Notamacropus eugenii: one gene and its partner. The protein of the gene in region 2 binds, or shares a complex with, the protein of the main gene of each other region. Links are inferred from orthologs where the notes say so. Each region holds a gene or a part of one and is shown on either strand. Other genes may lie near its edges. The genes, in order: PTH2 and PTH2R.

The links.
Region 1: the proteins of PTH2R (region 2) and PTH2 are in contact, whole or in part, in a cryo-EM structure (PDB 7F16), measured with the Homo sapiens proteins. The link is inferred for Notamacropus eugenii from reciprocal best matches to the Homo sapiens genes PTH2R and PTH2. Residues at the interface, in NP_005039.1 of Homo sapiens: Thr31, Ile32, Ile34, Gln37, Ile38, Asp68, Gly69, Leu70, Ile90, Tyr91, Asp92, Phe93, Met112, Lys117, Ala120, Tyr122, Leu126, Gln130, Pro131, Ser134, Lys137, Gln138, Phe141, Glu142, Tyr152, Arg190, Ile194, Lys197, Val201, Ile205; in NP_848544.1 of Homo sapiens: Ser62, Leu63, Ala64, Leu65, Ala66, Asp67, Asp68, Ala69, Ala70, Phe71, Arg72, Glu73, Arg74, Ala75, Arg76, Leu77, Ala79, Ala80, Leu81, Glu82, Arg83, Arg84, Trp86, Leu87, Tyr90, Met91, Lys93, Leu94, Leu95.

What each region holds. Positions count from the first base shown.
Region 1 is NC_092876.1:12,609,383-12,612,970, forward strand, and holds PTH2 (tuberoinfundibular peptide of 39 residues), read right to left. Parts: upstream 2,275-3,588; 5' UTR 1,547-2,274; coding exon 1,380-1,546; intron 819-1,379; coding exon 536-818; 3' UTR 501-535; downstream 1-500. UniProt on the Homo sapiens protein: Plays a role as a potent and selective agonist of PTH2R resulting in adenyl cyclase activation and intracellular calcium levels elevation. Induces protein kinase C beta activation, recruitment of beta-arrestin and PTH2R internalization.
Region 2 is NC_092877.1:306,125,502-306,129,410, forward strand, and holds the start of PTH2R (parathyroid hormone 2 receptor), read right to left. Parts: upstream 2,546-3,909; 5' UTR 1,249-2,545; coding exon 1,174-1,248; intron 1-1,173. UniProt on the Homo sapiens protein: This is a specific receptor for parathyroid hormone. The activity of this receptor is mediated by G proteins which activate adenylyl cyclase. PTH2R may be responsible for PTH effects in a number of physiological systems.

The DNA of each region.
Region 1 (3,588 bases), on a different chromosome or scaffold from region 2:
CCCAATTTCTCAATCTCGTCTCCCTCCGGGTACCCTGGCTTTCTTCCTTCCTCTTCTTTCCACCCTCCTGCATGCACTGCATCTCTGTAGGCTTTCCAGCCTGGGTTGGGGGCGGGCTGGGGGTCGGGGGGCGGTGGATAGGAAGGATAAGAGAAAAACGGGCCCTGGAAGGCTCAGACCCAGAGGCCCAGAAAACCAGAAACAGACCGAAAACGATGGAAATCAAGAGACAGGCAGGGATAAGATGGGGCATGGAGACAGAGAAGAGTGAGAAGAGAAAGGGAACAGAAAAACAGCCGGCCAAGACAGAGATAGAGGCAGCCCAAGAGGCCCAGAAAGTGGGAGGCAGTGGGAGACAAGGAAAAGGACACGAGCCCTGGGAGGATGGCTCGCCGGCCCCAAAGCTGCCACTGAGTAAAGGAGGGGAGTCGGGCCCACACCGGGCTGCGGTAGGCCCCCCAGGCTCCTCTCCCCGGCGCACCAAAGACACGAGGCTGAAAAAAGACGAGGAACTTTTATTGGGGGGAGCTCAGTGTCAGTCCGCGGCCGCATTGCTGACCACCAGGAGCTTGTTCATGTAGGAATTGAGCCAGCGGCGCCGCTCCAGGGCTGCCAGAAGGCGAGCCCGCTCCCGAAAAGCCGCGTCGTCAGCCACCACCAGGCGCCGTTGGGGTCCAGCGCTCGGGGCGGGGTCCTGGGGGCGGGTCTCGAGTTGGGGGCGGGGCCCGGGGGCCCGGGCGGGGTCCTCCCCGGTCAGCTGAAGACTCCAGTTCCGCAGGGTCAGAGAGGCGGGAGGCGGGACCCACGGGAGCCAGGAGCTGCAAGGTGCGGGGTGGGGATGGGAGGAGAGAGAGAGAGAGAGAGAGAGAGAGAGAGAGAGAGAGAGAGAGAGAGAGAGAGAGAGAGAGAGAGAGAGAGAGAGAGAGAGGCACCCAGGCTCCCCAATCCCGCTCACCCCATCCCGATCCGACTCAGAGAAGCGAGACCACGGCCACTCCGATCCCCGCCCGAGAAGTCCGTGGCCACACTCCTATCTCCCCAGCCTAGTTCCTGATCCCTTTCCAGCTCTCTGAGCAGACCCGTCCTAGTCCCAGCCCAGTGTGTCCCTCCAGTTTCCTCCAGAGAATCCCGCTCTGTCGCTTTCTCTCGAGCAGTCTTCGGTTCTGTCACTGAGAGTCTCTCAGCTCCCCCACCTCTGCTTCTCCCTCAGTTTTGCTGCATTGCTATCTCTCGGGATCTATCTCTTTGTATCTCTTTTCCCTGTCAGTCACTCACTCTATCTCTGTCTCTGTACGTCTCTCAACCCATGTAACTCTGCTAGTCAGGGGTTCCTGCGTGTGGCCTGGGAGATTGTCTCTGGTCCGCACCCCCATACCTACTTGGGGCTCTCAGGGCGGGACAAAACAGCCCCGGTGGTGCCGGAGATCCCAGGCAGCAGCAGCAGCAGCAACAGCAGCAGCAGTAGCCCGCACCGGCGGCGCCCCCGGCTCTTGGGGTTCTCCATCACCTGTGGGGTACACAAGTCCTGCTCAGCGGCTCCAGCCATCTCCCCAGCCCCCCTCCAGTCTCCTGGCAGGTCCAGCCCGTACCGGTCCTGTTCTGTCCCGAGCGAGGCGCAGTCTATCTCCGCCACCCCCAAAGCCCTTATAAAGGCCCTCGCTGACGCAGGCCTGGGCCGGGCAGGGCCGCGGGGTCACGCCGCCCCCAGCCTCATTAGGCTCTGCCGCCGGTAATGAGCAGCAGAGAGCGGAGGAGGCTGAACGAACTCAAGCCGGAGTTGGGCCCTAATTGGGCCCGGGAGGGGCCAGGGCTGGGTGGGGGAGAGGCGGGGATGGCAAGGGGGAAAGAAATGAGGGGACAGGTAGCCAGCAGAGAGACGGGGAATGGATGATTAGAGGGTGACATGGATAAGTAAACAAGTAAGACTCGTCATGAAAGGCGGATTCGACGTTCAGACCATCAGAGAGGGAGCCACATGGAGATACAGACAGAGGAACCACTAGGAAGAGGAAGAGAGCTTGGGCTAGACACGGCTAGACAAAGAAATTGAGGGAGGGACGGGGACAGATGGTCCAACGGAAGGGTCCGGTAACAACAGTACGGACAGGTCTACAGCGGGAGCCACATCAAGGACACAGTCGGTTTGGGAACAGTGGTAGGGAGGGTGGAACAGGAAGCTTCTTCTCCCTGACCTTTGTAAACACCCACTCCACGACACAACTCAGGGCCTAAGTGAGTCGAGGCACCCTGTAGAGATGTGACTGTCAAGTTGACTCACTGGGCTCTATAGGGTCCCAAGAGTAAGGCTTAGAAATGGGAAGAGGGAATAACACCTGGATTCCCCAGAAAAGAATGCCTGGGACCCCAGCGTGGGGCTGAACACCATCCAGGGAGCCTTGCCCGCCCCCTTCCGAGCTCTGTCCCTTTAAGAGCAGGCCCAGTCGCCTGGCACCCGGGTTCTCAAGGGAAGGACAGTGAGGTGCCTCACCCCCTCCCCAAGGCCCCGCCTGCATCCTTGTCTCCGCAGCTCACCTGCCCGAGTTCAGTTTTCTACACCACCTGCTGCTGCTGCTGCTGCTGCTGCTGCTGCTGCTGCTGCTGCTGCTGCTGCTGCTGCTAAGGCCCTGACCCTCAGGTAAGGACCCTGCACCCAAACACTCGAGGCCGCCCCAATCAGGAACCCAGGAGCTCTGTTTCCTCCCACCTCACTCCAACGCAGTCCACTTCCCACCCAGATAACGCACTGATCCTGGCTCGCCTCTCCCCCACCTCCTTCTCATAAGGGATCCCCACCAAGTAACAGGTGTCCGAGTGGCTCAGGTTCCGCCTCAGAACCCCTCCGGTGCCCAGGAGCTTCCCAAATCAAGTACCCAGTAGTACAGACCGTTGTCCTCTCCTCGTGAAGGGATCATGGGATCATAGAAAGATCCCTAAGGGATCTTAGATGCCACTACCAATAGATTTTATTGATGAGGAAACTGACCCTCAGAGAGGCTGAAATGACCAAGGTCACACAGGAAGAAAAGATGTGGCCGAGCCAGCATTTGAAACCCAGCTCCCGGAATTCCAAACGCTACTCTTTGCACCCTGTTCCCAGTCCAGGTCACTCCACCCCCACCCCAGGCAGGAGTTTGACGCCCCACTCCCCCTCGCTTTCTGGTGCACAGGCTTCCCCTCCCCCCAACCTCCGCCTCTAGGGGACCTCGCATCTTCTTCCATAGCGGGTCTCCGAGCAACTTGGATTGTAAACAAGTGAAAGCCGGTGGTGTCCCTCGGGGTATGGGGGCAATGAGGGAGGGCAGTTGACCACCAGTTCCCTGCTTCGGCTCTCCGGATCTGATTGAGAAGGCGCAGACAGTAATCAGGGTCGAGGACTGGGGAGCTAGGAGACATCCCCTAACCCTCTCGCCCCTCCAGACCTCGCCCTTCGGGGACCAACACGACTCAGGGAAGGAGGCGGACTACGAATCCCATGATGCTCGGCACTCCAGTCCCTTCGGGTTGCGAGCTCTGGTGCCCAGGAGCCCCCTGGGAGTTGTAGTCCAGCCTCACCCTTCCCCTCTGGATAACGTGCTGGTCCCCCGCGGA
Region 2 (3,909 bases):
TACTTTGCAGATGAACTTTCCTCTCAAAGTCTCACTAACTTGAAGGTATAGTTGAGCCTAAATAAATTCTAAGTTTTCTCTCCATTTAAAATTTCTCACCTCTCTTATAAAACAGGTATCTGAGAGGAAACTGGTGTGATTTTTATTTAAGGCATTAAAGGCTTAAGACATAGTGTTGATGCCTTTTATAGTTTTCTCTCTCTTTTTCAGAAATCCTCCTTCAGTTCCTAAATTATTAGATTATAAACATGACAGCTACTTTAATGGACCATAATTGCCCTTCTAGAATTATTGAGCTTTTGAAATCTGTCATCTGAGATTAGAGAACATAATGTCATCAAGCGTGGCTATTTGGCACTGACAAAGATACACATCAAAAATTAGGAATTGCTTTCCCCAAATAGAAAAAGTGAGTGAAGATACCGTATAGGAAAGTAAAGGCGCGCCCTCTACGGTTTGAAGAGTGAAATGGCAAATAAAGGAGGATTGATTTGCAATTACTCTGTTTCCCACTTCATAGCACTGACTCGCACAAAAGTCTCAAAGCTCTGAGTTTAAACCTGGCATTTTGTCTTGGGAAGATAATCTTACAATGCAGCTGTCTTATACAAGACAGCTGCTTGGTTATACCAGGTAATAACAAAGAAATTCCCTAAACTGACCTTTGAGCTCTGACTCGTCTAGACTATTGCAAAAGTCCTGAATTAAACATAACATCAATGCAATGTTTCCTAGCCACTCTCCCTCGTTTTAAGAGATTTCCTATTTAAAATAGAGAAGAAAATTAAGATTTTAAAAAATTACACTCTTTCCTAAACTTGAAGTGACCTCAGGTCTGGTTGAATCGCTACTACACAGAACAGTTTGTCTCTGGTACTGGAGTTGCTTAAGTAGAGAAGTATTAACTTTATCTATTCTCCACTCCACCCCTTCATTATTGTCCAGTCAGTGTACAATACACAAGTATTTGCACAACGCTTGACCAGTTTACAATTCCATATTAGTCTGTCAAATGTTTCCAAGTCCAGGCTTCCCGACCACCTATGAGACTGAGGGATGATAACCCCCTAGCATTGCCCCGTGCCTTCATCTCACCTGTCTGCAGTTCTTTGGAAGGATGGGATTCCCTGGGCAGGCGTTCCCTCCTTACCTGGGCAGGCGTTCCCCCCTTACCTGTGCTTTGGTCAAGAGACAGCTGCTGAGAGCCACCCAGCTCCAGATGAAGGGCAGTCCCCCAGCCTTGACCATGGCTAATAGCTAGAAGAGGAGAGCTCAGCCAGGAGGTTGGGGGCGGCGGGCGGTACCCACTTCACAGTCCAAGGTGCTGATAACTTTCTCCCCTCTCGTCAAGCTAGTGGTTCCCCGCAGGGAATTCAGCCAGTCTTCTTGTCACGAGAGGCAAAGCAGCTGGTGCCCAAGTTTGCTTAGACTGTGGGCTGAGGCACTCCGCTACCCGGGCTGTCTGGGCTCTCTAGCTGCCATGCACTCCTTAGGACCACGTTGTCTCCAACAGAGTCAGCCGCTACTTGCTTGGTCTCTCATCTTCTGGAAAATTTCCTACTCCAGGTTTACAAACAAGCAAACAGCCTCAGGCTCTGCTTTTGCAGCAGTCTGGAAAAGGGAGCAACCATGAGAAGAAGGGGTGAGTGGGTGGGTGGAAAAAGGGGCAGAGTGGAAAGTTGTCGCAGCGCCCTGTGGATCGCCAGCGGGCACTTGGTGCCAGGCAGCTCCGCACGTGTTTGTAAGTACCTTTGCCCTCCTTGAGTTCTCTTAGCACCTCAGGCAGCAGATCAGACAGGATGGAGCCAGCGAACTGAGTGGGTCCACACCAGGGTATCAGCTCTGCTTTTACCAATACCACCTTGCCTTCTCAGTGATTGGTCCGAAAAGTTCGCTGAATGACCGCACAACCTGATTTGTCGCTGGAGGTTGTAGCGCAGATGGGATTAAAAATTGAAACTCTCAGAGCTTAAAAACTGAGACTCTCTCAGCTCTTTCGTTACAATAGTAAAGTCCTCTGAACCCTTTTCACCTTTGCCTTTGCTGCTTAAATGTCCTCAGTTTCACTGATATGCGTATTCATCCCTCCAGTGAAGCAGATTGCAACCCCACGATGCTTTAGTGGAGAAGTCTCCTTACGCAGGGACGAGCAGCATAAATAAAAAGATTCACTTTCTGGAGATCAAAGCCGTTCTATTGTCAAGAAAGCAGATTCTCTTTTCTAAGAACCACAAATCAGAAGGTGAGCCAAGATAACTGTATACATGTCAGAGACTGGCGGCTGAGTTAAAAAGAAAAAAAAAATCGACATCCTAGTAGCTTACACTGTCTGCAATACTAATTTTGCGGGAAAATGCTTGGCTCTGCTCATCCCCTGGAGCTGGAGCAAACAGATATACCTAGTTACTAGCTGCCAGCTACAACACTAGATGTCTCATCAAATCACTAACTGGTCCTGTTAACCAGGCTGCAGAGAATCCTGACAAGTTGTCAAATGGAAAATGTGTGATTAAGGAGGTTTGGTTTTAAAGTTTCATAGTTCATTAGGTTTTTGACTGCTGCCCTGCTCTAGCTCTGACCAGGGGAAAAACAAAACAAAACAGTGTGTGTTCTTTGTAGCGTAAGCATTCTTTTCATGTATATACACTATCCAGTCAATGAAATTTAATTTCCTTAAAGAGATACTCTAATTTTTTCTTTTTTTTTTCTTAATCTTCCTGGGTCCAATGAGTTTCTTAATTATTTTTATCCTAAAGCTTAGTAACTGTTTGTTGAACTGAATTGGCGTGGCCTTGATACTATCAAGAACAAGTCTTTTTTTTTTCCTTCAAAATATGTCTGTCTTGCCATTACTTCTATAAATAAAACTTGAATTTGATTCAGAGGTACAAAAATATTTGTTTTTTAGAGTACCTAACTGCCTAGATTAAGTTAAATTAAATTTATAAAAGTTAATTTGCTGCTGCAGTATCTAAATTAAGTTCAATATTCTCTTAACAATGAAGTACTGCCAATCATCTGCTCTTTTCTTTTATGCAATAACTTAGCAATAGCTTGGGAAATAGATTTCATTATAATCAACAATACCAAAAACTTTTACAGCCTTTCATTTCATTATCATGCTCTTCCTCCCACACTCCTAAACTTGAGGACAGTTATTTAATGTATAATATTCCTAATGCTCCAGATGTGCTCATGTCAATTTCACTTACCTGGTTGGCCAACAGAGATGGACAGAGGAAGAATGAGTGAATGTGAACCCTCCAAGGAACATAAGAACTTTTAAAAATTGACTAAACTAACATATAGCAAAGGTGATCAGGGATCCATCAGTGCCCTTACCCATCATAAGGCAATATAAAGCAGTTGATCCTGATGCATAACTACATGTTCACTTATATTAATTATTATCATGAATGATATCCTGCTGGATCTAGGCAAGATTCCCAAAATGCTCCTATTAATAGATAGCATTATGGTGATGGCATGGAGCCTCAGAATCCTTCTCAGTTAAATTCATAAAGATGTCACAGCTACAACATTCAAGTCATTCAAAATCAGGGAGGGAAAGCCAAGATAAAAAAAAAACAAACTAATCCTCTTTGGATTTGTAAAGCTGATCATGCACACCTGAGGACTGCCGCTGTGAATGATTTTTAAGTGTCTAATCACGTAGTTAATTTAATCAGCAATAGACTAAAGATTGTTCAATAAAGTAAAGCATAACATTCATAACAACATCTTTAAGCAAAATATATAATCTAATACACACACACACACACACACACATATATGTGGTTGTTGTTCTTTGTCTCTGAAGAGGACCAAAATGACATCACCATTGTAAAATGAAATTTCAGTGTGTCCAATTGTGGTTGATCAGACCAATAGGAGCTCTGAATGCTCTAC